4 linked regions of the Arabidopsis thaliana genome follow. The protein of the gene in region 4 interacts with the protein of the main gene of each other region in a biochemical or structural test. Each region holds a gene or a part of one and is shown on either strand. Other genes may lie near its edges.

Region 1 (7,267 bases), on a different chromosome or scaffold from region 4:
GTATTCCCGCCTGTCACGCGGGTGACCCGGGTTCGATCCCCGGCAACGGCGATTTTTTATTTTTTAAACCTATAGTAGTGTCCTTACCATTTTTTGAAAGTCATTTAGAATTTGTATAAATTGTAAGAGCAATGATCAATACGTAAGTCATTTAGAATTTGTATAAATTGTAAGAGCAATGATCAATACGTAGATTTATTCAAAGTTGCCTTTCTGATGTTCATGATACTTCTTTTTCTATCAATCTTAGCTTTCTTAATTTGCAATAACTGAAACATTCGTTTGCTCAATAGTATAAAGAAAGAAAAACACACACAGTTCAATCAACATTTTCTCCTATAATCTTGAAAGTATTATGTTATTCAGAATAACTTATTCTGTTATTATTATTCTTTTGGTGTTATCTTGATTTCTACGAAAACTCACAGATGTTCTTGATTTTATATTGCAGAGTTGTAATATTACTTCCAAGAGATAAGATTATATGAAGAGCAACTGCAGAATATAATTTGCATAAGTTGAGAGTCAAAGATATTGTAACATCGTAACTCAAACCTATAACATATTGACCGATATCAAGATCTAGGTCTCATAAATAAGAAGTGAGGAAATATAATGATTGTGAAAATTGAAAACCAGAGGTCCATAATTAATTCTGACGTCAGATGATGATGCCTTGCATGGTCTTCCAAAGAGATTTGGAGTAATCATAAATCGGACATCTCTAAAACTGAGATTTCAAAGTTGACTTCGAGTTTGCCTTGTTTTATGATATATGATGATTATTCATTTCGGCCAATTATATCATGATTGTTCTTCTTCGCCTCAAATTTTATTTTTCACACAAACACTTGAGTTCGATGCGACATCTTCCTTGTTTTTCTAGTCTATTTTTGTCGAACACATTTTGATATGCAAGAACATACCAAATGTTACTATTGATATTGCATCCGTATTTGCGATGTTTAAAATATGTGTTAAGTATATCCAAAACTTTTTGTCTATTTACTCATTACTTGTGGGAATTTTTCAAGTTAAAGTAAATTCTATTAAACTAGTATAATTATGACAGGATATAGTTACACATAGTTGACAAGAAAAGCTTATACAAGCAATTAAAAAAAAATGCTGACAAATAAACCTAGCTAAACATTTGTATGTCTATATACTCCTTACTTTATTTGTATTATTATAAATATCTATTTTACGGGGTTTTTTTTGCTAAAAATATAATTTTTATTATTCACTTATATTTGTTTTCCCATATTTCCACGAAATAAACTAAAGGACACATTGATGTATAACAAAATTAAAGGACACATTAAAGTATAGTGCTCCAATATTGGTATATCCTTAATTTAATAAGGTTTTGTTTATCGACCTCATATGAAGAATTTGATTTGTCATTATAAAATGTTTAGGAAACAAATTATTTTAAATCCAATTTGAAAATATTCAAGTTTTTATTGAAAATGTGAAGAATTGAAAAAAAAAAAGAAAAAAAAAATGTGAAATGACTTGATGTTTAGAAAGTAGTTGTAGGAAAAATAGAAGTCAAATAAAAGAGCAGAGAACTCGTAGTTTAGTTTTTCAAACGAAAATGAATAGTTTTTTGACTAATACTATATAATAATAACTTGTAGGGGTGTGTGTGATGGCGTCACATAGAATCCGAATGAAAAGCCCCTTGTCTCATCTCTCTGGACAGAGCCGCTTGAATCTCATGTCATGACACCTTCTGCCCTCCTTTTTCTTTTATTTTCTAAATGGAAAATATATATTCCAAACGAATATTGGGAAATTATTTAGTTTTTAAAAATTTAATTAATTAGTTAACATTTTATGCTCAATTCATCCATCATAACAAAAAAAAAAAAAAAATAGATATACACATTTAGAGAGTGACTGGAGTTTATAATTCATATTCAAACCCAAGAGTGTGTGTAAATTTGACGTAGCATCAATTTTGGTCTATTTAAAGCTATAGTATTCTGATATTATCCATTCTGAGGTTTTATCCAGTATTACTGTTGTTGAAGGAAATGATTTACATGACCAATATTATCAACAACTGGTTTGAACCATAATAATTAAATTGTTCAGATGCACATGGCATAATAATTAAATCATTTCAATTTAGAATGTTAGGATAAAGCTTTCATTGAACTTGCTACAACACATGTAGACTATATATACACAAACACTACTATTAATATTGTTTTTCTTCCTCATTTCCTCTACTCTAGTCTACTTGAAAATTACATAGACCTATTTATACTTAAGAAGTGTTTGCTAATCCTGATGAATAATTAGTGTCAATTCAACGATTCAGTTTCCACTTACTGTCTTACTCGATCGGAAAATATCATGGACAAAATGGGTCACTTTTGTTTTTGTATGAGATGATATATCAATATTGAATGCGTTTTGTATATGATTATAAAAATCGAATAACTTGTCCCCATGTTATATACGATACATTAGTTGATTGATATGCACTTGACAATATTTGATAAATGGAGCAAAGGTACAAAATGTTAGTCCAAGAATCAACCATATCCTAAAGTCCCCAACCCCACACCAGAGGATCTTTAATTAACATAGAAAATAGAAACAAAAGTAAAAATATGACTGAGAAGACTAACAGAGAGACACTGTCTTCTTGTAATAAAACAGAATCTTCTTTTCATAATAACTACTACAGTGCTCGATACTACTTATCTTCCTATAATACACCAAACAAAATAAAATACTTCCAAAAGGTTGGGTCTTCTTTTAATCTTCTCCTACGTACGGATTCGAGATCTCTTGCTCTAACGTATTCTTGATTTAAATCAAGATTGTCCAGAAGCAGAGCTTGATTTGTTGTCATTGTTTGATCCATTGTTAGAGTTCTTAGTTTTGGAGAGTTTCTGTTTGAGTTGAAACAAAAGCTGTTGGTTCTCTTGATTCAGAAGCTCAGCTTTCTTCCTTAGTCTCTCGTTCTCTTTCATTATGTAACAGTTTTCAACAAACAGCTTCGAGTTTAGCCTCTCCATTTCTGCTTTCTTGCTACAAGTAAAACAAAACAAAAGTATTATTACGAATTTTGAAAAATAAATGAGAAAAAGAGAGTAATAATATCAATAAAACCAAAGCTTGTGTTATGATTATTATTGTTCATGTTAAATCATTACATCACACATGGGTTGTGCAGCTTCACACGTCGGATGTGAATTACATTAGCTATAGGAAAAATCATTTGTCGCATTTATTTCGTTTTCATGTGAATTTCTTTTTCTTCTTTTTATGAAATCAATGATCAAAGAGAGAAGAAGAACATGATTATAAATTTGTATGGAGGATAAAAAGATAAAGCTAATAAAGAGAAAGAAATTGAAGAAAAGAGATAAAAACAAGTAATCATGATGATATATATGCAGTAATTATAAATGTTTTAACCTCTATGGACAGAGAGAGTAATGATTATATTTGAAACGCTAGAAAAAAACAGAGTAAGCAACAAAACAAAGATGGTGATCGTAGCAATACAGACTATTAAAAAGAAAAATCAAACAATTTTTTTTATTTATTTCGGTTGCCTCAAAGAAAAAGATAAAGATTAAAAACTTTCCATCATTGAGGAATATTTTAAAAGATGAAAAAGTTTTAACATAGAAAAAGAGAGAAATTAAGGGTTTGTCTTCACGTTAGTTGTACGTGTGACGTTACTACATAACTATTATCTTAACGTATGAACGCAAAAGCGATAGATAACAGAGCAAGAAACAGAAACAGAGCATGTCGAGAAAACTCACGTTAAGCTTCTAGAACAGTAAGAGAGTGAGAGAGAGAGAAGGAGAATAGAGGTTATACCTTTTGGGAAGGAGTGTTGAGAAGCAGAGATAACGAAGAAAGATTGAGAGAGAGAAGAGAGACGCTAGTTTGTGTGTGTAGAGAAGGTAGAGGGACAAAGAGAACAAAGTGAGACACTGTCTGTTATATAGATCCCCAAAAGCTAAAGAGAAAGAGAAAGAACCTTCTCTCTCCTGACACAACAATCATGCATTGTGTTGTGTTTCTGCATAGATGGCGGCCGCAAGAAGAGAGAGAGAGAGAGGAGATTTGTGCATATTGCGTCATGTGAATGATGATGATTTATTAAAGAGAAAGAAGTTAGAGAGAGAGAAGAAAAAAAAAAGGAGTTTTCTTGCTTGCTCTTCTTTCGAAATTGATCTTCAGGGATATTTTCGTAATTTCCGAAAGATCCCCTAGCACTTCCTTTGGCTCTTCATCGTATTCGTCCTCTAAACAGAAGATTCGGTTAAAAGAACTAGAGTAAGGGTATTTACGTCATTACGAAGGAAGTAGTACAGAGGAGGGTAATATTGTCATTTGTGTAGGACTAATGAGAGGGGCTATAGTAGAAGAGGCCATCGACCTCTAAAGATTCGCAATGATGGTAAAGATTGGTTCGAACCATCATCCTTCATGATTCTATTTCAACCGTTTTGGACCATTTTGTAAATGCTCTCTTTCCCCATCTCATGTCCCGGTTAGCTCAATCTTGGTTTAGTTCAAATATTACACTCCACCATTATTATGTTTTAGATTATTATTTCGGATACAAATAGTTTCCTTTGTGTGTTAAACTATTTGTTACTTTTTTCTTTGTATGAAAATCATAGTATACCACAATTTGAAAATGCATTTTTTTGTCCTCTTATATTGTCTCAGCATTCAAGATTTGATATAATTATGGTGGGAGAAGAAAAAAAGAAAGAAATAATGAAGAAGAAGAGTGTTTGGACTTTGGAGCCGTAAAACCTACAAAAAATAATCATGGATCAAAAGTGTTGTAGAACGTGAAACATCATAAACAGTGAGGTGGTTGTTTTTGGATGTATTTATGACTTCTCTTTTTTTCGTAACTTCACATGCCTTTGAATAAAACTCGTTCGTTTGCCCATGACTTAACCCCCAAAAAGAAGATGACTACAATTTCACGTTTATTTAAAACTACTTTGGCTTGTGTATATAAATCTTGTACGGCTTCTTTTAACCCTTCTTTCACGGAATAAATGTGAGAAATTGTGTTTTTTGTAAATATGCTGATTGTAGAAGTTAAACAAAACTGAAACACAATTAGTATTAAGTAGGTGTGTCTTGAAATGGAACTAAAGAGTGGGTACACTTGCTTACACCAAAGGCAATGATTTTAAAGGTGTGAGCAGCTTCATTTCTTGCTGGCCTATGCAATGCCGTTTCTACCCCTCATTGCTTTGGTCTAAGTTTGACAATTCGGTTTGGTGTTGATTTTTATTTATAAAATGAAACTTTAATTTATAAATATAGTTGGTTCTAGGATTAATTTTGGTTAATCATAACCCAGTCGGACCAATTTTCACACCCCAAAAAGGTTGAAAACTTTGTCTCTTTACCATGTAAATTTCAAAAACCTAAGAATATTCAAATATTCGGTTTTGGTAACCCCTATTAATGTAGTAAATGTTTGGTATAGAATATTAGATTACCATTCAGAGAAACTATATTTCGCTTTTATTAATTAATTGGAATTTTCTAGTTATTTTCTCCTTTGTTAATCTAACCTAATCTTTTTTGAACTTTATAATATAAACACAAACGAATTAAAAAAATATACCGTAATTTAACTGATTAAAAGTCTATATAAGTTTGTGTTTATATGACGTATATTTCATTTTGCTACGTACTACTGTATGTATACATTCATGTTGTATGATGGAGCATGCCTCTTTTGCACAAGAAAAGTACTGAAATCTCTTTATTTGAAGGAGTCCACATCCACCTCGAAGGCGATGTGCGCAGTGGTTCGATTGCTATACCCGAGATTGATTTACCGGCGATTGATGTCGCATCATCTGCTGCGTCGGTGGTGGCGGAAGAGTTAGGTAAATCAAATCTCACATAAATGATTCTCTGTTCTATTCTCCATTCTTCGTTCTTCTGATTGTTTTTTTAGGTTTTTGGTGGTTAGATGTTTGCGCCAGACGATTCAGAATTCATAAGGTGTAAAGTGTGTTCATATTAGACTGCATGCAAACATTATCATTGCACATCTTAACTTTTAAATAAAGGACTACTACAGATGTTTGGATGGACTACTACAGAAGTAATTTTCATTTAAATATGGATAAATATCGACGCTCACGATTCAACAAGCAAATCTAGTTTGATATGAATTAGCAATATGCAAAAAGTGATAAGGATTTGAAAAGTTGAAAAGCAACAAAGAAAATATAACAACTTAAAATATAAATGAGATATAATTCTTAATTGACTTGGTATCAAAACATTTGTGTCCTGTTTTGATATTGTTGTCAATACTCAATACTATATATAAGTACTTTTAGTATCTACGATTCTACATCGACATTTAACATATAATCTTATAGAATCAATGATGAGGAACAAGTCCTAACCACATTCAAGAATACGAACCGAGGGGGTCTAAATCTTACAAGATGAATCGGCTAAGAGACTGGTTAACCAAACCGAATCCTTTTCAACCGACACATCATCGTCGTTCCTGTGCCATTCCCAACGTGCATGAGTCGCATTCTCGACCACCAATTGACCATGCCCGAAACTTGCTTCTCTAAACAATGATATTTCGGGATTTGGATCTCTATACCTATGATGATTATCAAAAACATTAACATTTAATTAGTTTCATTTTCAAATTTTGTTTATAAAAAATCTCATTTAACGAAGATCTTACTTGGTAGCAAGGCCTTCTAGATTCCCACCATCTCCGATGTTAATATAAACCGGACCACATTTGTCGAACTTATCTTGGTACACTCGACTCTGTCAAATAAACACACAAATTAGCTCTATATATATAAAAAAAAATCAATGCAGTTTTTTAATGAAACCCTTTAGACTTACAAAACGCTCGTAAGCATGAACGTGACCTGCAAAAACCAAATCGACACGAGCTTTGTAAAGAAGAGTTTCCATGGATTCTTTCATCTCCACACTCTCTTTCTCTCCTTGGTGAGCTTCGTTGGAGTTGTACCAAGGCGCATGCACCACAGCCACAACCCACGGTGTGGTCTTACGGTCGATTTTCTTGAGATTATTTTCTAACCATTGGTACTGCTCCGAGCCAGGCTCAAAATCTGTGTATGACCCCAACATTATAATGTGGACTCCATAAACGTTGAAAGAATAGTACAAATTCGAGCTCGAGCCACTCTCTTCAAATGGCATGCGCCACCTGTAACGTGTATACAAAAATATCTAA
Region 2 (6,542 bases), on a different chromosome or scaffold from region 4:
GCCAAATTGAAGCTCAGGAAGAATTGAAAAGATTTTCTGATGCTGCTATGAGACACGAGAGGGAACAACAAGAAGTAATCAACAAAATGAAGGTATGTAAAGACTTAGTTGTGTATGAATTAATTTTTCCCATTATTATGTCCTTCGAATAAGACAAGTTTACTTGGCAAATATTTTAGGAGTCAGAGAAAGAAAAGTCAATGCAAGTCGAAACATTGATGTCAAAATTGGTATGTTATTCTAATTTATTTCACAATTAGCCTCTTGATCACAAAAACTTGTACTCAAATTATTTACCATTTGTCATTTGAGAATTTTTGTGGTGTTTTATAGGAAGATACAAGGCAGAGGTTGGTGTGTTCTGAGAATAGAAACCGTCTGCTAGAAGCTCAAGTTTCTGAGGAGCAGCTTGCTTTTGCTGATGCACAAAAAGTACGTGACCTGAATGCAATTTCCCTCTTATTCTGCATGGTTTCTCTCTTTTATTTCTGTTCTAACGGGTGCACAAAAAATCTTTTGGAGCAGAAACTGGAAGAACTTGACCTTCAAGTAAAAAGACTGCAAAAGGATCTGGACAGTGAAAAGGTAAGAATGGAAACAAATTTGTGCGCCTTAAACTTTTTTCCCAGTTTTCCATTAATGACATGCTTCTGGTTCCCGCCTCTGATTTCTGCTACGAAAATATGATGCCATGCTTTTAATTTAACGATTGTGGACATGTAGCTAAAATCTTTTTTTGCGTAGTCTCCATTGTATTTTTAAGCTGAGACTGTCTTTGTTATGTTAGCAGGCAGCTCGAGAAGAAGCATGGGCGAAAGTGTCTGCCTTAGAACTAGAGATAAGTGCTGCTGTTCGAGACCTTGACGTCGAAAGACAGAGACACCGTGGTGCAAGGGAAAGAATCATGCTCCGGTAAGAACATTTGCATGCATGGTATAATAACGTTAGGCTGCTATTTCTAGTGTGTATGATTGGTTGGGTAACCTACTTTCTGTTTAACACCTTCAACCGTCAAGTAAAATGTTGCCTTAAACTATTAAGATTCATTTCACGCAAATTTGATTGGTCTAACTATTGACACACGGAATCTTCATGCAGTGAAACTCAGATGCGGGCATTTTATTCTACGACTGAGGAGATCTCGGCTTTGTTTGCAAAGCAGCAGGAACAGCTCAAGACTATGCAGAGAACTCTAGAAGATGAGGATAATTGTGACAATACTTCACTAGATATTGATCTTAATCCAATAAACAGAAGTCCCAACAGAGCTAATACGCAGGGAGATAAAAGAGCAACTTCCCATTTGAATTTTGCTGCCAGGGCAAGCTCGTCCACTTCAGGGCAAAGGTCTACCAGAAATGAAGTTGTGGATACGTCATGTGAGGATGCAGATGCTACCCAAAAGCATGATTGTGAAATCATGAGTCAGGAAGGCCAAAACACCCAAGAAGCAGAGTATCCAAGCTCTGATAAAGTTGCAAAGGGTGGCTTTGGCTCAGATATAGAAGGTATTGGTACAGCACCCACTTCGGGAACAGACCCTGTAGGAACAGAGCAAGTCAATGAAACTCAAAGTCCAGGAAATGATTATGAGAGAAATGATCATCTGAGGAAGTCTATTATTTTAGCTGGTGATACAATGCAAATAGATTGTGAAACTCAGGTACATGAAAGTGTTCAGATTGAAGGAGCTGTTCTCTTGTTAAGGAACCCGAACGATCGAAGGGATACTCAAGACATAGAGGGAGTAGGTACTATAGGGACGTCGGATCTTCTAGCTTCTGAAGTTGCGGGGAGTTGGGCTAATAGCACGAATCCTTCTGTACATGGAGAAAACGAAACTGAAAGAAGTAGAGAAGATGAAGAGAGTCAGACTCAAAAAATCAAGGAAGTGACCATAGTACAGGATTCTGCTGGTCAGATAGGGGAAAGTCAAACTAAACCGACAAGTCCAGGGGTCCTGGTCACTAACAAGGATGATGCAGAGCGTGGAGTTATTAACGAGCCAGTGGGGATCACTGATCAAGGGAAGATAAAACATGGTACTCGTTCGGACTCAGAGACAGAGAGTTGTTCTGACTCTGATGATGATCATGAGAAGGAAAAACACAATCCTGTCTCAGATTCTGATACAGAGGGTTCTGATATGAATGATGACAAGGGATCACTCTCGTCGGATCCTGATACAGAAAGAAGCCATGAAGTTGATGGGGATCAGAAGAAACAAGTGGACACCATGGACGAAGACGATAAAGCTACTTAGCATGATTCCCGTTTCAAGATCTTATTATGAGTAACATGTTCATGATTTTACAGTCTTTTCCAAATCCCTCTTTGTTTTGTATTCGCACACACCGGGCTCATTTTGTCGTTTACATTAGAAGTAGGGTGTAGATAACGCAGGTCAAATGGTAAGGTTTGTAACAAAACGAGTTGTAATTGGCGTGGAATGCAGAGCTAAACGAAGTGATTAAAATTTTTGAAAGATTAAGATGTGTCTATTTCATAACAAAGTATTTCCATAATGTGATGCAATGATATCAAAATTGAATGAAAGAGGAATGGAGAGGGCTAAGCTAGAGATGAGATGGGGCTAAAAATAGACAGCGGAAAGAGTAAGTCAGAGGAATCATCAATGGTTAATCTGAAATTAAAAGAGAGGCTTTGATGGTGAAAGGAGGAAGAGAAGCTCCTTTTACAACCATTTCATCATTTTGGAAACAGTAGCAACTCCAAAACTTACCCTTCAAACTCTAATCAATATCTTGTCATTTTTATGATCTCTTTAGTGGTAAAAATTCTTAGCTTTGATTGAGAAGATCCATTGTTGTCTATGGGATACTCAAAAGGATGGCTATAAATAATAGTTGATATAATAATAGAGTTATAACAACATTATAACAAGTTTTGAACACTTTTTTAGAACGAAGCGTGGATGGGGTTTCATTTCGGTGTTGACTATCACCTCCAATTCCATTGATGACTCTTATTACTAGTTTGTCTATGCATTATGGTTTCTATGAAAATATATCAATACAAGAAATGAGTAGAATTTGTAGTGGTCCTAGTCCTTGCCCTCATCAATTTATTCTCTCTTTTTTTCTCCATATATATCATCAATACATGTAATGAGTAGATTTTTTATTTTTATTTTTTTTGTCAATGAGTAGCTTGTTATTTCTATTGAATGGTTATGAGTTTTTTAGCTTTATATTATACATGTACCACATGAAACTATTTTCAAAGTGTGTTTTTTCTTCCTGGATTTTAAAGAAATACAAGATGGTAAATATAGTTTTGGTAAAAAATAAATTTGTAGTTTGGAGAATATGGAGAGTATTATTGATTGGGCTATAAGAAGAGGAAGGGGATTGGGCATGTGCATGTGGAATTTGGGTTTGAGCATTGAAGAGTGGAAAAAATAGCCCACAAAATTCATAATGCAAATGATGATGATGATGGTTGATGATGATGATGATGATGAATGAATCCATCGTCGTCGAGTGGGGAATGGGGGTTATTATGGCAAATGGGTATGATGATTGTGGGAAGAAGAAGCCAAATCGGTGGTTTCGTTTTCCAAATTAAATGTGCTTTGGCTTTTGCTTCTTCTCCTACTCGAGTACTCCATGACTTTTTCCAATACTACTACTACTACATGTATGTATGTATATACAAATTAAATATAGATTTGCGTATATTGGTAAAGTCACTGCACCCGATTCGGTAGTATCCATTTTACACTTTTTCCTCTTCCTTCGATGTTTCAGAAACCATTCCCTAAAACCTCGCTATCTCACGTGACCCATCACGAGCCATGATTCCCTCTTCTTACCGTTGCTTTGCGTTGCATGTTTTTGTATATAATTTATAGATTTTACCAAAAAAAAGTGTTTAACTAGTATGATTTCATTTGAAATAAACATATTATTCTAACACGTAACCATAAACTCTAATGACCAAAACAAAAGTTATCTGTGTTATCGTTAAAAATTTAGTCTACTGCCCAAAGAAAAGAAAAAGTGAGTGTTCATTAGTTAAAAATCTTAAGATTACTCATCCAACATGTAGAAGAAACTATTGGACAGGGAACAACGACAACACATGGGTGTAAGTAAATTATAAATCAACTTTAGAACTTAAGTCTTGTTGTGTATTTAACGGAATGATTAACCATCATTAGATATGACTTCAACGGTTTGAAAATTCTTGATTTATACTCTCTACCTTGGATGCTCGGGTACGTAATCTTTTTCCCCTTTTGAAAAATAAGGGTATTGTTGGGATTAGGATTCATAAAAGCAAATAGTAAACCGAAAACACAAATGAAAGAAAAAGAAATAAAAAGACAAAGACTTGTGATTTAAAAAGTTAAGAGAAACACTTGTACTTGTAAGGAAGATCGAGGTTTTGACGTACTCTAAACCTTTTTTGACTTCTTTGGCTCCTAAATAATCATGATTTGACCTTTTGGCAGTCAAAGAAATCTGCCAAATCACTTCATAAACTCAGATAATTGTCGAATAGCATATATATGAATCCTATCCTTTTTATTGTAGTAATTTTGGATTAATCTTGTCACATAGACGGTATAAAACCACTTTCTTATTTATTTACTTTGTCAACAAAAAAAGAACCATTTATTGTTATTGTGTAACGGTATTGAAGTTAAGAACACACAAAAAGGGATACGTATGTCTAAGTCTAACCGTAAACGCATTCTGACCGAATATTTGTATGAGCGCATTCCGACCGAATAAATTACTACTACAAGCATTTTGTAGATATGAACGAATTTATTTGTAAAGTATAATTGTTGAGGTATCAATATAGCCAAATGTTACGCAGAATTGACAAACTGTCACCTTGATTTAAGCCTTCATGCCACCGTCACCAATGTAATTAAGTTGACAAACAAACAAAACTTATTATAAGTTATAAACCAAAATTGAATAGTTTCTTATGTCGTGTGTACGTACCTTTTAACGGTGAATTGAGCTTTTTAGGGAAACCTCCTAAATTCTTCCAAATAGTACACATTTAACTAATCAATCAGTCAAAAACAAATAAGATATACATAGAGAGAGAGAAAGAAAAGGACAGTTTTTGTGATACATGTTCTTCTTCTTCATCCTCTCAAAATTTCAACTTCATCTTCTCCCTCATCACATTTTTCCCTGTCCCTTTGTAATCATGATTCTTCTTTTGCCATCATTACCTTCTAAAGGAGCCTTCTCTCTCCTCTCTTTAAACGAATAATGCAAAGGGAACACAAAACTCACAACAAACTTTCTTTCATCTATATAACGCCTCTCTATATCTCACCCATTAATCAAACACGTCTCACTTATCTCTCTTCTTCATTTCTTCTCTCTTCAAGCTCCAAGATGTGTTTAAGTTCTTCAGAAACATTTTCAGACACACCCACGAGATTAGTTTTATACCTCAAAACACAAAGTCACGTTCGTATCCCTCGTCTCTCCAGGTTAGTTCAATCTCCATCATCATATATACACCCCCTCTAGGAGATTCTCATCGACTATGTAATTACGTTCTGAATCACTATTATTTTTCCTTTTTTTCAGGAGGAGACGGATGTGGCGGGAAGAGAAAAAGATGGAGATGATCAATCTAAAGCTTTACGTGGAGAATCAAAACATCATAAGAGAGAACGAGAAACTTAAGAAGAAAGCTCTTCTTCTTCACCAAGAAAACAAAACTCTCTTCTCTCTGCTTCAGACCAAAAAACTCTCCTCTGTCCATAAATAAAATCTTACCATCATCACCAATCACTAAGATCATCATATTCTTCTTTCTTTACTGAAATAATAATAAGATCTCAAGGCTCCAAGAAAAAAAAAAACAGAAAAATTTGGGTTTTACAAGCAAGGGTTTAGTTATTATTAGTGGGTATACATCTAATTTTTATCTTCTTTTTAGTGTGTCATCTCTTTGTAATCTTTGTATCTGAGTTCTTTTGTTAAATAATGGTTAATCTACTTTCTTATTCAAAGTTTTGGATATTAATCTTTTTAATCTCAATGGAGGAGAAATTTACACAGCTGGCACGAACATCTCACGTGACGTGGGCACCCCAAACAACGTAGAAAATCACCTTAATATTAAATTTTTGGATTCCGAGTATCCAACAAAATTAATGATTTTCACATGGCGATGCCGTGACCGTTCCAAGATGGCAAAGCCATGCTGTTTCAAACAATATTATCAAACATGCGTGCCGTTTCTATCTCCCTCCTTTGAGGCAACCGTAAAACAGAGTATAAAAGCAGAACATAACGATCAGAGACCAAAACAAGCTAAGAAATATGATGAAATCATTCCTTGAGTTTTCATTCATTCATCAGCTACATAAAACCAAATGATAGAACCATCTCTTCTTCATTAACACCAAACAAAAAGGAACCAAAAATTAAAAAAAAAAAAGTATGCTAATATCGACCGATAAGGATAAAATCATCATCATCAAGAGCCTGAACATCTTTCTCACCCACAAAATGCTCTCGTCCAATCTCCTTCACCAG
Region 3 (6,287 bases), on a different chromosome or scaffold from region 4:
GAGAAGAGTTTTATTGAGAATATATATATTAAAAAAGAATCCAAAAACTGGCATCTATATGAGATGATCCAGGAGCAGCCATGATGATATTAGTGACCTGCTAACTTCACCCAACATTCTCGAAGCACTTAGAAGAGCATCACTGCCACACTGGAACCCACCGTATCACACAAAACAAGAAAACTTAAAAACACATGTAGACATGAACACGAGAAACAAAAGATCAGGTTCCGTACCATCAATGAATCAAGGGTTCCTACACAATCCAGCAGCCGCAACAACAGGTAACAATATATCACTTCTAAGCTTTTCACCATAAAAACAGAGTAATTGGTGGTTGCTACAACATACCTTTATCAATAATAGTGTCAAAGGAATCGTCTTCAAAGTAACTCATATCTCTAACATCCATTTGCATATCTGTTGGGTAAAAACAGAGTATAATAGGATAAAGCTTCTTACTTTACATATTTCTAAAGCTAAAGTAATATAAACTAGAGATGTGAAAAGAAGTGTTACATTTGAGCTGAGGAACAGATGCATATTTGGTTTGCATCATCTCAATAGCCACTGAAGAGATATCAACATTCATGATGTCCTCATACCCATCCTTCACCATATCCTCTGACATCACTACACCAAAGAGAAGAACAGGGCAATCACAGTGTATTAAATTTGGTTGCTGCTCAAGTCAAATTCAATCACTGGTACAGACTTCTTCAAATCTATTGGCAAAAGGAGAGAGAATTACGGGAGTTGCCACAGCCAACCATGAGGACTCGTGAAGAAGTAGAGACGAAGCTGCGGACAAAAGGGCGGAGAGAAGAGTAACATTGGTACCAGTCGAAAGAAAGCGCGTCTTGCACGTAACGAGCGTCCCAATAGAGAGCGTCTCCATAGTTGTAAGTGTTGCAGCTCGACACGTCCCTCTGCATCTTTCTCTCTCTCTCTAAAGATCCGATCTCAGATTCTGCGGCGGAGCTTTTTCTCTTCGTCGTTGTTTTTGACCAGCTTACGAAGTTTGGGCTTATTACAGGCCCAATACATAATCATGTGAAGCTGAAGAGTGACACGTGCTCACACATTGTTATTAGCCTCATAATTGGGCTCAAAGTAAGGAATTAAAGCCTCATCTCCGCCCATTAATTAATACGGAGTAATAGTTTACTGATTTGTGAAGGTTTATTTTATTTTTTTCTAATCAAATGATAAAACTTTTGCAGATTTTTACATGACAGTAGTAAACTACGTATTTTGATTTGTCGTTTTTATAAAAAATAATAATTTCTTTATCAGTGCTGTGTCGGGCAATTAGAACCTTCTTTCCATTTCTAAAAGATGTTACCAACTATTGACCAAGTATTTAAAACTGATAACGACACTTATTTATGAGTCTACTAAGTACTAACGATATTACTAGTTGTCAAGTAAAAATATCTAAATCCTTTTTATCTGAGTGCCTTTTACAAAATTTTGGATGATTATCTAATGAGCATCCATAAATAAGCTCAAATTTTAGTTAGCTACTTGACCATGGTTAACTCTAACAAGGATGATAAATTGATAATGATATAACGGTTCGGTTCGGTTGCTTTTGGAAGAGGACGAACCATAAAGAAAGAAGCTCAAAGCCCACCCATTTTCGTGATTACAGGCTTTTTAGCAAAAGGAAGCAGCACGTGTTCTCAAATTAACCATAGTTAACTCTTCAATATAACCATGGTTAACATTTAACCTCTTCTTCTTCTTATTAACTTCATCACTCTCTTTGTCTTCTCACTTTCTCTTCTCCACAGTTCAACTCAACCTTCCAAATTCCAATGGCGACATCACGAGCTTTCACTCTCTTCGCTTTCACATTATCTCTCCTCACCGTAGCTTCTACCGTCTCCGGCCATAACATTACTCAAATCCTCTCTGATACGCCGGAATATTCCTCATTCAACAACTACCTTTCTCAAACAAAACTCGCCGACGAAATCAACAGCCGCACTACAATCACCGTCCTTGTTCTCAACAATGGCGCAATGTCTTCCCTCGCCGGAAAACACCCACTCTCCGTCGTCAAAAATGCTCTCAGCCTCCTCGTCCTCCTCGACTACTACGATCCTTTAAAACTCCATCAGCTCTCTAAAGGCACAACTCTCACCACCACGCTTTACCAAACCACCGGACACGCTCTCGGGAACCTAGGATTCGTTAACGTCACCGATCTCAAAGGAGGCAAAGTCGGCTTTGGCTCCGCCGCTCCTGGCTCCAAGCTCGATTCCTCTTACACCAAATCCGTTAAACAAATCCCTTACAACATCTCCGTTCTCGAAATCAACGCTCCGATCATCGCTCCCGGAATCTTAACCGCACCTGCTCCTTCTTCCGCCGGAGTTAGCAACATCACCGGACTTCTCGAGAAAGCCGGTTGCAAAACCTTCGCGAATTTGCTCGTATCGAGCGGTGTTATTAAAACATTCGAATCCACCGTTGAAAAAGGCTTGACGGTTTTTGCACCGTCCGATGAAGCTTTTAAAGCTAGAGGTGTACCAGATCTGACGAATCTCACACAAGCTGAGGTGGTCTCGCTCCTAGAGTATCACGCCCTCGCTGAATACAAACCCAAAGGATCGTTAAAGACTAACAAAGACGCTATCTCCACTTTAGCCACTAACGGCGCCGGTAAATACGATTTAACGACGTCAACTTCCGGTGACGAGGTTATTCTCCATACCGGCGTTGGTCCGTCGAGACTCGCCGACACGGTGGTCGATGAGACACCTGTTGTTATATTCACTGTGGATAATGTGCTCCTTCCCGCTGAGCTTTTCGGAAAATCTTCATCGCCGGCGCCGGCACCGGAGCCAGTGAGTGCACCGACACCGACCCCGGCTAAGTCACCGTCTCCTGTGGAAGCACCTTCTCCAACCGCAGCTTCTCCGCCAGCACCACCGGTGGATGAATCTTCACCGGAAGGAGCTCCGTCAGACTCGCCGACAAGTTCAGAGAACAGTAATGCGAAAAACGCGGCGTTTCACGTTAACGCTCCTGCGTTGTTCACCGCATTGGTCACTATTGCCGCCACATCTCTCTTGTTATAAACAAAACCTTAATTACGAAGACTGCCATTGTCTTCCTTCGACGAGTTTTTATTTCTTTGTGATGCTGTTTGTTAAAAACTGGGAATTAGAGTGTTACGGTTTACGTTTAATCTTATTAGTTAATTTAGAATTGGATGATTGTTATTGTTTTGTTTTGGTGTGTTAGTTTGTAGTAGTGTCGAAATATTGAGATCTTCTAATTGACTAGTTTCCATTTTGTGGTTTGTGTTCTCTTGCGTTTTTATTTGTTCTAAATTTCAAATTAATTAATTATGCTAAACAACGTCGTAAGATTAAATGCGTGGATTAATGGACCATTGGAATTTTGCACCCAAAAAAATGGACCGTTGGAACTTGAACCTGTGATATCCCACGTGGAGAGAAAACGAAGAGTGTCTTCTGGTCCACACCGTCCTTTATAACTTTCTTTTCAAAATAGAAAATACAGGTTTCATATAAGCCCATTAACTTATATTCAAAGCCCAAGAGAGCCCACGTTATCAACACAGCCTGTCGTTTTTAGTTTGGTAAGACGACACTCATTTTAGACTGTTTGGACTTCAAAGTACCCCGCCTTTTTCATTGTTTCAAACGGTGTCTAATGTTGGTCAAAAGGAAGAAGACGAAAGATAATGTTGCGTCTGAACCACTCGATGCCAAGCTATTATCTAAACGTCTAGCTGAGCCTAAATCCAAAGGATCACATCAACTAGCTCCTTCCCCGATAACATAGCTTATCGTAACTACAATTTCTGGAGTCCTCACCACTTTTTTCTAATGCTTGGCAACTGAAAAACTAGATTCCTTTAGGTGATTCTCTTTTAATCTTCAAATTTCATGCCTAATCTGTGAAACTAGGAATTGCTGATAATGTTTTTGTGGTTGACAATGTAAGTATAATGCTTAAAGATTTGAATATTTACATATCATAGATAGAGACGCATTATGCATGGGAGTGCTACTCTAGTTAGAGATTCACATATGGTACCATCTTGCAGTAATGAAGGGGCGTGGTGATTTTGATATGGACCACTTGTATGCATCAAAACAAAACTCATCATTGTAGCAACTCCAGAAATTACCCACGAAATCGTTTGCTATTTATGATTCCTTCTTCTGTGTTTTTTATGCCTTAGCTTGTATGAGATGAAGAATAACTTTCATCTTTTTGTTTGTGGTGGACAATGCCTAGTCTAAAAATAGTAAATAATATAGGTAGAGAATCATAACAGCTTTGATCATTTTGAAGCATGATAATAATTCCGGATGTTGACTAGCTCCTACAATTTGCAATTTAGTCTTTATTAGTATAAGTTTTCTTCCCCCTTCTTTATTTCTTTTCTTGTTTGTCTTTCAAATTTGGTTGCATCTCAAAAAAAAATATCAACACAAGAAATGAGTAAGAGTTTTATAGTGGTCCTAGTCCTTAGATCAATTATATTTATTTTTTACTATTCATATCACATGCTTAGATTTCATTTTACATAGGAACAAGATATATGTCTCTTTGGAACCAAGGTTTTTTCCTTAAAATTAGACCCCAATTATGAGGGAAACCTGGTTTGAACACGAGATGCCAAACCGCGAATCCAAGACTTCGACCTTTGAAATGGGTTTGGTATTAAGGTAAAGGAGTTTTCTTTTGAGCCTCTTTTGAAAATAAAAGGTGCTTATGGATTAACTTTTTAAAATCAAATTGTAGTACATGCATAGTTGGTCCAAATTTCATGTGATCTTTCTCTGTAGTTGATTACAACTAAAGTAATCAATTAGTATGAAATTGAATGATTTGGTATGGTCGATTTACGTATGTACCTCTCAAGTGTTTTCTACTAAGTTTGCACTATTAGTACAGTAACTATTCAATCAAGAACAAGAAACAGAGAGTCTGAGAAAGAGAAGAGTCTGTTTTGGTCTTCTTCTTCATCATCTTCGTCCTGAACTCATGCATATCTCTGGCCCCTCTATAATCATGAGTTTCCTTTTGCCATCATTACCTTCAAAAGCCTTGTCTTTCTTCATCACTCTCTATCTCAAAAGAAACAACTACAGCTTTATAGATCGTCTATATAAAGCTTACTCTTCCATTGTGTTTACTCAGTTCGTTTTGTGTGATAAAACCACAAGAAGATGTGTCTGACAACTTCAGAGCCACCATTCCCAGACACTGACACACCAACTATGAGATCTGCTTCGTACCATATCAAACATAAATCTAAGACACAAACCCATCTTCGTATCCTTAATCTCACCAGGTTCAATTTCATCTTCCGCATATATCAAGCGTCCTCAGACATTGACTCTATTTTTGTTTCTGAATTATATAAAACAGTACTTTCTTTTTCATTGTAAGCAGGAGGAGAAGATTACTGAAGGAACAGAAGGAGATGGAGATGAGGAACTTGAAGCTTTTCGTAGAGAATCAAAGCATCATACGAGAGAATGAAGCTTTAAAAAAGAAAGCTCTTCTTCTCCACCATGAAAACAATGCTCTGTTTGCTCTGCTTCACCCAAAATACTCCCCTGTTTCAACCTCCTTGCTTCAGTGATCTTCGTGAACTTTGTTTATTGATTCTTCTCGTCTTCTTCTTTCCTTTTCCAACCTTTAATGGTACTAAAATAAAATCAAACTAATGATTTATGGGTGATTTACTCTTCTATGAAAGCTTTGATTATTCTTTTTCATGTACCAAGTATTAACATACATATCCATGATCACTTTCAACTAAAAAATTTCGTTGCTTAATATGCCGATCCGTGATAGAGATGTTTCCGACGACCCAAACCTCAGACAACCATCATGTCGTTTTATACAACAGAGCAAACACGCAAAGACAAAACACAATCATCCAGAGAGGAGAGGGAGAGAGAGATAGAGTAAGCAAAAGCCATTAGATTCATCACCAAAAGTAACAGACCAAACATTACAACAAGTAGAAGTCTTGATCCATCTGTGAGTTTCTCATCAGCTAAATAACTAACAACTGAACGAAGAAAGTATAAACACAACCAATCTTCAGGGAAGAGACTCTAATATCGACCGATTAAGATGAAGTCATCATCATCAAGTACCTGAACATCTCTGTCTCCTACAAAATGCTCCCTTCCGATTTCCTTCACCAGTTTAACGAACTCAATCCTTTTGGACAGAGGCAATGGCACATAAGGTAACCGAAAAACCGGCCTCGCAACTCCTAA
Region 4 (10,979 bases):
GTTTCACCATGTCTGGGTTTTGGCCTTCGGGAGTCCTAACGAAGCTTCTCTCCGGCGAATCGCCGGAAGTTACAACGATTCTCGAATCAGCTTCATCAGCTCAAACTACGATTTCAAATACTATGGAAGATTCCAGATCGCGCTTCAAACAGAAGCAGATCTGGTTTATATCCTCGACGATGATATGATTCCTGGGAAGAAAATGCTTCAGATGCTCTCACACGTCGCCGGAACTGAGAAATACGAAAACTCTGTTTTGGGAAGTATCGGAAGGATTTTACCTTTCCGGCAAAAGGATTTCACGTTTCCGAGCTATAGGAAGTTTAGATCTAAGGAAGCTGGCCTTTACTTGCCTGATCCAGCTTATGACATCACCTTAGATCGGATTCTTCAGGTTGATTTCTTATCAAGCTCGTGGTTCTTATCGGCGGAGCTCGTGAAAGCGTTGTTCATCGAAAAACCATTCACATTCTCTACCGGTGAAGATCTTCATCTCAGGTTAGTTTCGTAAATTCTCGATTCTGTGATTTTTCTTGGGAATTTGAATCGTTTGAGTGTACAATAAGGCAATGTTTGAGAATAGCTTGATCATTAAAAAAACGGAAAAAACTTATATTTTTAATAGAATAATCTAAAATCATTGTAGTAACGTCTAGAAGATGATGATCTTCGTGAGAGTAATTGAATCACATGTTTTGTTTCATGATTATAAAAAAAAATAGATTCAAATTCTCTGGGGAAAAGTTATAAAAATGGATTTTTTTTGTTATGAAGTAATAATTGTGGTTTTGATTTTTTTTGTGTGTGTTTTGCAGTTATCAGCTTCAGAAATACAGAAATGCAGGTTCGTTTGTTCTTCCCGTTGATCCAAATGATAAGGAGACTTGGGGAGATAGTGAACACAGGTTAGCTTATGTGTCTGAGACTACTGTGATATTTAAAAACATTGTTGAAGTAAGAGATAACCAGTGGTGGAAAGCGCTTTCTACGGGTTATGTGACTCAATGGGCTGCAATGTATCCTCAGAAGATTGATGCTTTGTTTTACGCGCATTCGATTGATGAAGTTAAAGCACTTGGTCCTTTGCTGGAGAAGTTTAGAGGTACTGTTGGTAAAAAGGCTTATATCGCGGTTTCGGGTGGGAAGTTCTGTCCGTGTGAGGATGCGGCGTCGGCTTTGAGGTGGCCTAAGGTTGTTTGTAAGGAGAGGAGATTCAAGATTTTTGATTTGGAAGTTGGGGCTATTTTGGGTGTGTCGAACTCAGAGGTGCCTGTATTTCAAGCTGTGTATTCGAGCATGAAAGGGCTTATTAAGATTCATAATCCAAGCGTGGTGATTACGGTAGCTGATGCTGATCCGAATGTCAAGAAAGCTTTGAAAATGGCTACCGAGACTAATTCTAATGGCACCGCATTGGTTCTTCTACCGAGAGCTTCTATCTCCAAGGTTCTCTGGATGGCTGATCTAAGATCAACAGCATTGCCAAGTAAGTATCAACTTTTTGCCTTTAATATAGCTTTTCCAGTTTTAATTTACCGAAACTGACAAATGTCTTGATTTCAGACTGGAATAAGATGAGAGTCTCAGTGAACATCATCACCCAAAACCGAGCTCAATCTTTATTAAGATTGCTTAGGTCTTTGAGCAATGCATACTACCTTGGTGACGAAATATCACTCAGCTTCAACATGGATAGCAAAGTGGATGAAGAGACGATCAATGTAGTGAGCACATTCGATTGGCCTCATGGACCAAAAACACTAAGAAGAAGAATCATCCAAGGAGGCTTAATCCGTGCTGTGAGCGAGAGTTGGTATCCAGCTTCTGATGATGATTTTGGTCTCTTGCTTGAAGACGACATTGAAGTCTCTCCATATTATTTCCTCTGGATCAAATACGCTTTACTTGCTTACCACTACGACCCTCAAGTCTCTTTCCCTGAACTCTCCTCGATCTCTCTTTACACGCCCAAAATCGTTGAAGTTGTCAAAGAGAGACCCAAATGGAACCCAACAGATTTCTTCAAGCAAATCCATCCTCACACACCTTACCTTCACCAATTACCATGCAGCTGGGGAGCCGTTTTCTTCCCAAAGCAATGGAGAGAGTTCTATGTCTACATGAACATGAGATTCACAGAGAACGCGAAAGCTAACCCGGTTCAGATTCCGAAATCAAGAACCAACGGTTGGCAAGCGTCATGGAAGAAATTCTTAATCGACATGATGTACCTGAGAGGATACGTTAGTCTATACCCAAACTTCCCTAACCAATCAAGCTTCTCAACCAACCACATGGAACCAGGAGCTCACATCGCAGCTAAAGACAATGTGGTGAAACACAACAAAACCGATTTCGAAGTTCCATTGCTTATGGATGATTTCAGAAACTTCTTACCGAACCAGAAACTCCCTCCGCTTTCTAAGCTTCCATCACTCAATCTCTTCAACATGCCGGTTTCGCTTAAAGGTCTTAAAGCTGCAGGAGCTAAGCTTGGTCAAGATGTTCTTCGTTGCAACAATGTCTCTGAGATTGTCGCCGTCAATCATCAGACAGGTTTACCGGCTAGATGCATGAAATTCTGAAGGTAGTTTTATCTAACGGCCAAATAAATAAAAAAGTTATTTGGCTGTGATTTTTCTTTCTTACATCTGTGGATTCTTGTTGATTCTTTGTTTTTTGAAATAGTTTATATTACTAATATATAGCGAGAGATGTGAAAATGAAACTGTCAAATGCGATAGAAAAAATGTTGTAAGCTTAGTTTTAACAAAATTATCACATCATTCCCTTTATATATAGAGATTGATCAACTCTGCTTTTTTCCCCAAAACATTAAAACCAAATACGTTGTGAAAGAAGAAAGTGAGTAACATTTGATCAAAATAATTTTAAAAAACAAAACAGAGACACCTAAACAACAACCAAAAATTTGAGTTCTCTAACGTAAATTTAAATTAGTCTTTTTCTGTCAATCGAATCACACAAAAGACCAGTTTACAAAGGAGAAGGCAAGACAATGCAGATTGTTGTTGTTTTCTTCAGATGCAGCAAACACTTTCCAAGCAACAGCTTGTTCATAACTCACATGTCTTCCCATCGTTGACACACAGATTCCTGAAGGCAAGCAAGCAAATCCCTGTAGACGCAAAGATAGTTCTCAGACAAATGAATCAAAACCATTTATCTGCAGATGTTTTTGTTTTGGTTCTTTACCTGTTGCATTAGCTTGGCGAAGTCCGAACAGATAGCCTTACGACCCGATTCATCGAATATCTTTTCGAGTGTTATATCTTGTAAGGCTACAAGTGTTGTCTCTAGCATGTCTAGACCAGCTTGGTTCGCAAACATGAACACTGGCTGTGGCTGCAACATATCCAGACCATATTATACGTCTAAAACTACAGGTGTATTCTGCTTTTTGTTTGGTGTAGGACACATACCTTTAATGAGCAACACAGGATGGCATCTTGGTGATCCCATAGAAGTTTTAGTACCGAGTCGTCGCTTCCAAGTGAATCAATCGTCAGCAACTCCGAGCCTAAGTGATGACTGGAAAAACAAACATATCAGCATAAGGCATCATCGATAAGTTCGAGGATTATAAGAAAGAGACGAGAGTAAACATTTACACCCCCACCTGTAACTTTGAGAGATCCACTGAGCAAGAGTAACAGCTTCAGGAGATCCTGGGGACAATTTGGAGCCCAGACTCGGGCTTATCCCAGACGGTGAGATCGCCATTGCAACACGTTGAACTGATGAGATCACGCTCCTCACATACTGACAAGCCATACCAGCAACATTTTCTTGCAAGTTGTTTTCAAAAGGGAATTGAAACGCGATAGTGAGAATACATCTCGAGCTTGAGCTAGAAAAAGAGTTTCCAGAAGCATTCTCAGGTGATGGACCGACTTCAAGGCTAGAAGTTAAGTCTAGTGTACGGTGATTAGCGGTTAACAGATCTTGTACATCTCCCTGTATGAGTAAGAAAAAATGAGCCTTGAAACAAACCATCTCTAAGTAAAAGAAAAATCAGTGGTACAGCAAAGAAGAGTACCGTTTTAGCATCAACGGGTATGACTCGGAATCCAGAGGGAACAAGTGGAGCATCATCCGGGAACATCTCATTAATCGGAGCAAATATCAGTTCAGAACAAGCTCCAACGGCATTCTCGTCAATCCCGGTACAAATCTACCATAAATCATTAAGGTCAATTTTAACTTTGAAATGGTAAAAATTTCAAGATCCATTGGGTTAGAACTTAGAAGTGATATACCTGAAGGAGATGGACATCCCGTGACATAAATGCATCTTCTTGAGCAAGAGAATGACCTTCCAGTCTAACAACTTCTAGCATCTAAACATAACAAAACCAAATATATATGTAAGAGAGAGACATAAAAATGATGTTTTGTCGGCAGGTAAAGACTTTGAAGCCTTACTTCTTCGTGTTCAATTGTATGTCCTAGTGGCATTATGATCTGACTCCCAGTGAATCTTGTTGGTCTCATTCCCGGATAAGCAAAGCTACCAGCTTTAAGTGTAGCAGCGGAATATGCATCAACATTGAAATCAGCCCACTCAGATCGATGCTCTCTAAGGAACCGGATCAAAACCGCAGGAGGAACATTCTACAGAAGACAATAGATAACACAAATTTCAGCCATAGAAAACTGTCAAAAGAACACAAAGTACCAATACTGGACACACTAACTTACTTGGAGAAGCATTGAAGCCTTGGCACAGAGCACGCCTCCAAGGAACGAAAGAGAATTAGAAATATTATTCAAATGCTTTGTAGAGTTAATAGCAACGATAATATCTTCCGCTCCATCACAATGCATCGTAGACCACCCGTCGTCACCAAACCCATTAACCGCATCATTGAAGCCCCTTCAAGAAAACCAAGAACAGAAAAAATGACAATGAGCAAACAGAGCAAAGAACAATTAGGTTTTAGCTCAAGATCGAAGTACCTGCTTAATCTTTGGCTAAAGGTTCTAAGAACAGCAGGCTGCCTTCCTAATCCATACACTACTTCACCATTAGACTCTTGGGCTAATTGCCTGATATACCGCAACGCCTAAAACATGAAGCACCTCCAACCGTTAGATATGTTATATGAATCAATCAAAGCTTAAGGTTATTATATGTATACACTCACGGAAATGGTCATTTTTTGTGCAACGACTTTGGATGACTCATAAAGGGGTCGAAGCACATCCGGAACACTCCAAGCCTACAATGCAAGAACAAATGTTTATAATCAATTCTTCTAGAAATTCCTGAAAACACACACAAAATGCCACATGTGAAGATTTAAGTACCTCAAGATTAAGGTGATCGACAATGTGAATAATAGAACCACCACCATCACAAGGCCTTATTAAATACCCACTAGAAAGCATTTCTGCTCTCACAAACTGAGAAGCTGAAGCAGCATTAGGCCCAGCTCCAGAGCCAGATAGCGACCTCTCACAAACCTTTTAAAGACATATGAAAAACATCAAGATCCCAGAGTTTTTCTGTAAACACTAGACATTATGAGAGCTGCATACCACAAAACTCCCATTGTCGAGGCTCGTTGTGTATCTCAGGGTCCAGAAATCGCGGGCAGGAGCCAGAGTCGTTGGTGCATACGTCTGAACAAATGTCACAACTTTATTCATTCATCTTCAAGTGTTAGAGATAGAAAACTAAACCAGAAGAGGCTAAAGGATTCACCTGCATATAAACAAGCTCGATTGTGCCACCATTACCAGCCGGGAACATAGTGAAAACTTCAAGGCTCCTACAGTCACGGAACCAAGATGGCCGATCTTTGAGGATCTCTGCAATCTGTAAGAACACAAAAAACCCAAACTGGTTGAAAATGAAACATTATGACTTGTATCTTTAGCAACGAAAAGAGTGTCCCTTTCTTACCTTCATAGGTTCTAAGCTAACAAGACCACAGGCTCGAGCTGCCACTCCATTGCATCTTTGCGAAATGGCAAAGATGCCAACCGAATCCGGACCAGGCTACAACACACAACATTTCAATATTTCACATATTGCCATAGATATCAACAGATAAAATAACACTTAAGTAATGATACGAGATGCGTATAACCTTCATCCCAGGCATCTGAACCCAATCAACAGCAGTTCCTGTAGCCTTGGATAGGAACTCTGCCAAAGTCTCCTCTGCGATTGAGAGCAATCTAAGACCAAAACCAAGCAATTAGGCAAAGAAAAAAGATTAGAAAAAGGTTACTTCAAAACCAAAAATGAAACTTTACCCAGCAGGACTATTCGCATCTCTAAGCGAATGCTGAGGAGTTGTGACCACAGATTCACAGCTTGGATCGTTAACCTGAAGTTAAAACAACAAGTCAGTAACTTTATAACTCAAGCTACATGTTGAACTGATAGGAGTAACAAATGATTCTTTAAGAACACATTTGACAAAAGGAAATGTTAAGTTACATACAACAGTAGTTAGCTGCTGTTTCATATATCCATTTTCGCAGACAAGCTGAGAAACCTGCTTCTGCAACCTATCATTCTCCTCCATCAACAGTTTATTCATCGCAGAGAGCTTCCGGTTTACGCTCTGGAGCCTCGACGCCTCTTTCCTCTGCTTATCTCGACACCTGAAACCACACAACAAAACGAATCAACAAAACTCCTAAGATTAGACACCAGATCAGACAGTAACCATATCGTCACAAGAACAGTTACACCAAGCTATTGAATAACCAAATCTACCAGACAGATTCAAAGGAACCCTTTTGTAAAAACAGGAAATTGTGTCGGAGAATTGAATTGAAGCATCAAATCTTGAAATAACAACAAAAGTGGTCCTTCATATCCATTGAATATAACACACTAAATCCAATAGAATCAAATTCAAAATCCTTAATTAAAAATTAATCCTGGCCATATTAAAGAGAAGCAATACCTGCGGTTCTGAAACCAGACTTTGATCTGCTTAGGCTCAATATTGGCCAAAATGGAACATTCACGGATCAATTGTTGTCGACGGAGAGAGCTAGGCTTAGGACACTCAGCGTAGACACGCTCAAGAGCCTCGACTTGCTCAGCTGTGTACCTAACGTACTTACCGCTACTATCTAAATGTCTATTCATACTGTCACTGCTTCTCTCACGGTGGTTAGCCACCGCCATCTCCATTTTAGCTCGACCCTCAAAAAAAGTCTCAAACTTTACTGTTTCTTCTAGCTTCTTCTTCTTCTTTGGCTTCTTCTTCTTTTCTCTTTAAATTAATTTCTTCGGAAAGTCCGTCGTATCGTAAGAGAAACGTAAATTGTAATTCTTTTCAGACAAAAGAAGATTCTACGGTCGTGGCTTGTAGCGAAAGACCAACGACATGTGGATACGAGAAAAATGAAGGCAAAGAAGCGAGTACAAAAAATAAAGTTAAAAAAAGTTTTAAAGAAGAGAGATTCAGAAGATCTGAGAATTTTAAAGATTCTTCAAAGAGAAAAACAGAATAAAGACCCAAAATTACAGAGTTGGATTTTCTGGGGAGAAACAGAGAAGAGTACCCCAAGAAAGTGATGATGTCAACTCTCTTAAAGAAGCATTATATCAGAAGAATTGAAGGACACAGAAACCTTAGGAACAATGAAGAAGAAACCCAGGTACAATTGAAGCTGCAAAAGTTTTGAAGACTCTGAACGAACAACACTAAAGGGCAATTATAGTTTCAAAGGAGACTTCAAAAAAAAGAGAGAAAGAGAGAGTTTGGTTATGTGAGAAAGTGAAGAAGGAGAGAGAGATAGTAAGTGATGTGTGTGTTTGCTTCTGCTGAACTTTGGAACAGAGGAATAAAAGAGGAAGAGAGAGAAAGAGAAGAAGAAAAAATTGTGAAACAGAGGATTTGCACGCAAACCGACAAGCTGTGCATCAGCGAAAAAGAAAAGTGGTGCGTTTTTTTCCTTTTTTCTAATTTAAATTTATTTGTTTAATAATACGGCTATCATTTACGAAGTTGTCCCTACTGTTTTTCTGAAATGACAATATAGGAATCCATCTATTTACTTTTCAAATTTTCTTCAATTCTTTAAAGAAGTTTTAGTTACCTGATATCAGCCAATCACAACATAAAAAATATTTTTCAAAAAATTGTAAGAAATATCTAACGCCTACATTACTTTGAAAAAAAAAAAAACTATGAAACGCTTCATGCATTTTTTTTTAAGTGTTATAAAAATGACATTTTTCTTATTTAACAGATATGTTTTTACTCTGTTGATGTGTTTTTTTTTAAGTTGTCACGCTTAACATTTATGCAAAATTATTAAGTATTGAACATCAGATATGTGTTATTAGATGGTATTGATCCAATATTTAAACTCAGTTAAGGTATATACTATCCATACCATAATGAATATCTTCTACGGAAAAACTAAAGTAAGAAATATCTTACAATGGCTAAGTTAAAAGAACTATCGTTTAATATGGCTAACATTTTATTTTAACATTACACCAAAAAGAAAAAACTATCATCATTGTTATGTACTATAGGGTGACTAATTTTTAGGGTTGTAATCGTATATTAATTATTGATGTTTTAAAAAATGAAGTTATGCACGGGTAGTAATTTTAATTAAGAGGAAGACTTATGTTCTCCGATGAAAGTTTTAATCATTAAAAAAGTAAAAGCGAAACTCGTCTATAAGATCTGGTCGTCTCGTAAAGTTATGCTATTGAAGCTGTGCTTGTAATTAATTCAACAAGATTTTTGTTCAACTTTATTATTAACGATCGACATGCACCATGCTTCAATGTCGTTAAGGATATTTAGAGTTGCAAAAATCAAGAATTAAAATTCGACATTATTGAACGCCAGAAAAGAAGAAGAAAATCGACGTTATTAGAAATAAAGAAAGCCTATGATCGCTCTCTGTCTCTGACATAATCATTTTAACACATCAAGCAATCAAAGTTATGTCTTGTTGCAAAACACATTCTCTCACTATCCCTTTGTGGTAGTGTTTTATTTGTTAGCATGTCTTGTCTTCATTTATTAGACGAACCAAATTTGTAACATCTATCTAAATATTTAGTCCAGATTAAACTGTTTAGGTATAATTAATACACTGTAAATAGTTATTTCCAAATTATAGCTATGGTATCAAAGAGTAGGACCTTGAGTGAAAAAAAAAAGGAAAAATAATAGTGTATGTAAGTAAGATACGAATGGTAAATTTGATTTTCACTTCAAGGATACACAGTATAGTTAGGTGTGATATGTAAGAACCACCAAAGAGTGGGCTAGTAATCAGAAAGAGGTGTTTAAAGCCTAAATGAGCTAGTTACTAGTATTAAACTATCTGATTAAAGCAGTGAATAACTTTAATGTTGTGAGCTACAATTTGAAAAAGAAAAACTGAAAAATGAATCAGAAGACAGTGATCAGTCAAACAAAGTGATACGACTAAACCTCTTCGACAATTTTTTACATATCATGATGCTGCCTTTTTTCTTTCATCTGCAAGTGTAATTACTTTCTGTAAAAAACTTTTTAACCTTCTTTTAGTTCCAAATTTAATACCTTTTTTTCTTTCTGGTTTTTTTCTTTAAGTAGATAGTAATTTCACATGTCCTTTTGTTTTAACAATTATAATTTCACATGTCATGTATGTTGGACACAGTTGCTCCAACATCTTGATACGTACTAAAAGATAAATTTAGAAATTGCGTAAATGACTAGCCTCTCAAATAACACAAAATCAACCAACAATTACAAACACTCGATATAAATGATACACAAAAGGGTCAAATTTACAAAGGAAGATGGTTGCTCGCACATGGCTTTTTGATACACACGATATTAGGTATGTGTTTTCTTCTTTTTAAGAACCGAGAAATAATCTGAAAAATGAAAACCAGTAGTTAGTAGTTACAATTGAATTCAAAAGACAAATTAGTCACGATGACAATATATCATTTTCTAATACAATTAATGATTAATTTGTCAGTTTGAATACAATTGCACTATACTTTAAGTGTTCCCATTTGAATTTTCAGAAATTTGGTTTCCTTTTGTTGGATCACCAATTCGCAACGAAAACAAATTTACGAAAAATTGCCCAAAAGATTTTTGTTTTTTTTAAAATGAGAGAATGGAAAAGAAATAAATAAAAAAATGGTTCCTTAAATCCAGACAATCTGCGTCTCTTTTATGGCGCGCTCAGGTAGGGCCCACCTTTCCCTTCAGTCTTCAATTATCCGTCACCCATCGCCGCACTATTTTCTCTTCTCTTTTTATTTATTTATTATTTTTTGTTGTACCACATATCTATTATTTATGTCCAAATTCTTTTCTACAGTACATGTTAATCTAAGAATATATTTATTTATCTTTCATTTCATTTGATACATATGTTGTGCATTTAAATACTTAAAACTCTGAATAATAACAGTAAAATAAACTGTGTGAAAAAAGAAGAACAAACAAAACTACTACAGTAAATCAAATAAAACTGATACAGCAAAAACAAATTTGAAAGATCATGTATGTGATATCTATCAAATGTCACTTATTAAGAATTACTATGTTTAAGCCCAAAATTAATAAGAAAAATGTAATTTGTAACAAAATTAAATGTATTTAACGCATTTTTATTGTTCAACCATAAAAATACACAATTTCATTCTCTCTCGTTTTTGGCTCACACATTTTTTTATTTAATCAACCATACTCAATTTCTATTTAAGCAAGTTGATTTGGTAATAAGAATTTCAACTTGCCGAAAGAAAATACATTTTAAGATCATTTGAACACAATTTTATTTTACTTTTTCATTTGAGACCATTTCACTATTTCAGTATAATAATATAAAATGAAAAGTTTTGACGATGTGGTATTTCCATCAGCTTTTCGCATGCGCCAAAAGTAACTCTCACGTGCTGACCACACATTTACACCCATTTATCTCTTTATTATAGTATAATTTTAGTAGTA

What was found.
Region 1: the proteins of REV (region 4) and ZPR3 form a complex in vitro, tested with the Arabidopsis thaliana proteins (2 studies listed by BioGRID).
Region 2: the proteins of REV (region 4) and ZPR1 form a complex in vitro, tested with the Arabidopsis thaliana proteins (one study listed by BioGRID).
Region 3: the proteins of REV (region 4) and ZPR2 form a complex in vitro, tested with the Arabidopsis thaliana proteins (one study listed by BioGRID).

Annotation. Positions count from the first base shown.
Region 1 is NC_003074.8:19,555,057-19,562,323, forward strand, and holds ZPR3 (binding protein), read right to left. Parts: upstream 4,268-7,267; 5' UTR 3,856-4,267; intron 3,052-3,855; 5' UTR 3,039-3,051; coding exon 2,835-3,038; 3' UTR 2,460-2,834; downstream 1-2,459. Other genes in the region: PAP20 (Purple acid phosphatases superfamily protein), read right to left, coding at 6,469-6,652, 6,740-6,828, 6,910-7,240. UniProt on the Arabidopsis thaliana protein: Competitive inhibitor of the HD-ZIPIII transcription factors in shoot apical meristem (SAM) development. Acts by forming non-functional heterodimers. Part of a negative feedback loop. Involved in SAM development and lateral organ patterning.
Region 2 is NC_003071.7:18,732,775-18,739,316, reverse strand, and holds ZPR1 (binding protein), read left to right. Parts: upstream 1-4,975; 5' UTR 4,976-5,258; coding exon 5,259-5,485; intron 5,486-5,585; coding exon 5,586-5,769; 3' UTR 5,770-6,042; downstream 6,043-6,542. Other genes in the region: AT2G45460 (SMAD/FHA domain-containing protein), read left to right, coding at 1-92, 180-230, 334-432, 526-585, 788-912, 1,099-2,263; DHDPS2 (dihydrodipicolinate synthase), read right to left, coding at 6,450-6,542. UniProt on the Arabidopsis thaliana protein: Competitive inhibitor of the HD-ZIPIII transcription factors in shoot apical meristem (SAM) development. Acts by forming non-functional heterodimers. Part of a negative feedback loop. Essential for proper functioning of stem cells in the SAM.
Region 3 is NC_003074.8:22,496,375-22,502,661, reverse strand, and holds ZPR2 (binding protein), read left to right. Parts: upstream 1-5,186; 5' UTR 5,187-5,219; coding exon 5,220-5,344; intron 5,345-5,442; coding exon 5,443-5,638; 3' UTR 5,639-5,787; downstream 5,788-6,287. Other genes in the region: AT3G60910 (S-adenosyl-L-methionine-dependent methyltransferases superfamily protein), read right to left, coding at 98-150, 237-256, 352-420, 520-633, 752-935; FLA10 (FASCICLIN-like arabinogalactan-protein 10), read left to right, coding at 1,821-3,089; DHDPS1 (dihydrodipicolinate synthase 1), read right to left, coding at 6,120-6,287. UniProt on the Arabidopsis thaliana protein: Competitive inhibitor of the HD-ZIPIII transcription factors in shoot apical meristem (SAM) development. Acts by forming non-functional heterodimers. Part of a negative feedback loop. Essential for proper functioning of stem cells in the SAM.
Region 4 is NC_003076.8:24,393,935-24,404,913, reverse strand, and holds REV (Homeobox-leucine zipper family protein / lipid-binding START domain-containing protein), read right to left. Parts: upstream 7,934-10,979; 5' UTR 7,181-7,933; coding exon 6,948-7,180; intron 6,640-6,947; coding exon 6,477-6,639; intron 6,360-6,476; coding exon 6,286-6,359; intron 6,208-6,285; coding exon 6,117-6,207; intron 6,026-6,116; coding exon 5,930-6,025; intron 5,843-5,929; coding exon 5,729-5,842; intron 5,647-5,728; coding exon 5,563-5,646; intron 5,488-5,562; coding exon 5,332-5,487; intron 5,244-5,331; coding exon 5,169-5,243; intron 5,088-5,168; coding exon 4,981-5,087; intron 4,898-4,980; coding exon 4,723-4,897; intron 4,636-4,722; coding exon 4,447-4,635; intron 4,362-4,446; coding exon 4,281-4,361; intron 4,196-4,280; coding exon 4,061-4,195; intron 3,979-4,060; coding exon 3,641-3,978; intron 3,553-3,640; coding exon 3,444-3,552; intron 3,367-3,443; coding exon 3,217-3,366; intron 3,140-3,216; coding exon 2,981-3,139; 3' UTR 2,719-2,980; downstream 1-2,718. Other genes in the region: AT5G60700 (glycosyltransferase family protein 2), read left to right, coding at 1-498, 816-1,486, 1,564-2,585. UniProt on the Arabidopsis thaliana protein: Probable transcription factor involved in the regulation of interfascicular fiber (cortical cells) and secondary xylem differentiation in the inflorescence stems. Required for lateral shoot meristems (LSMs) and flower meristems (FMs) initiation.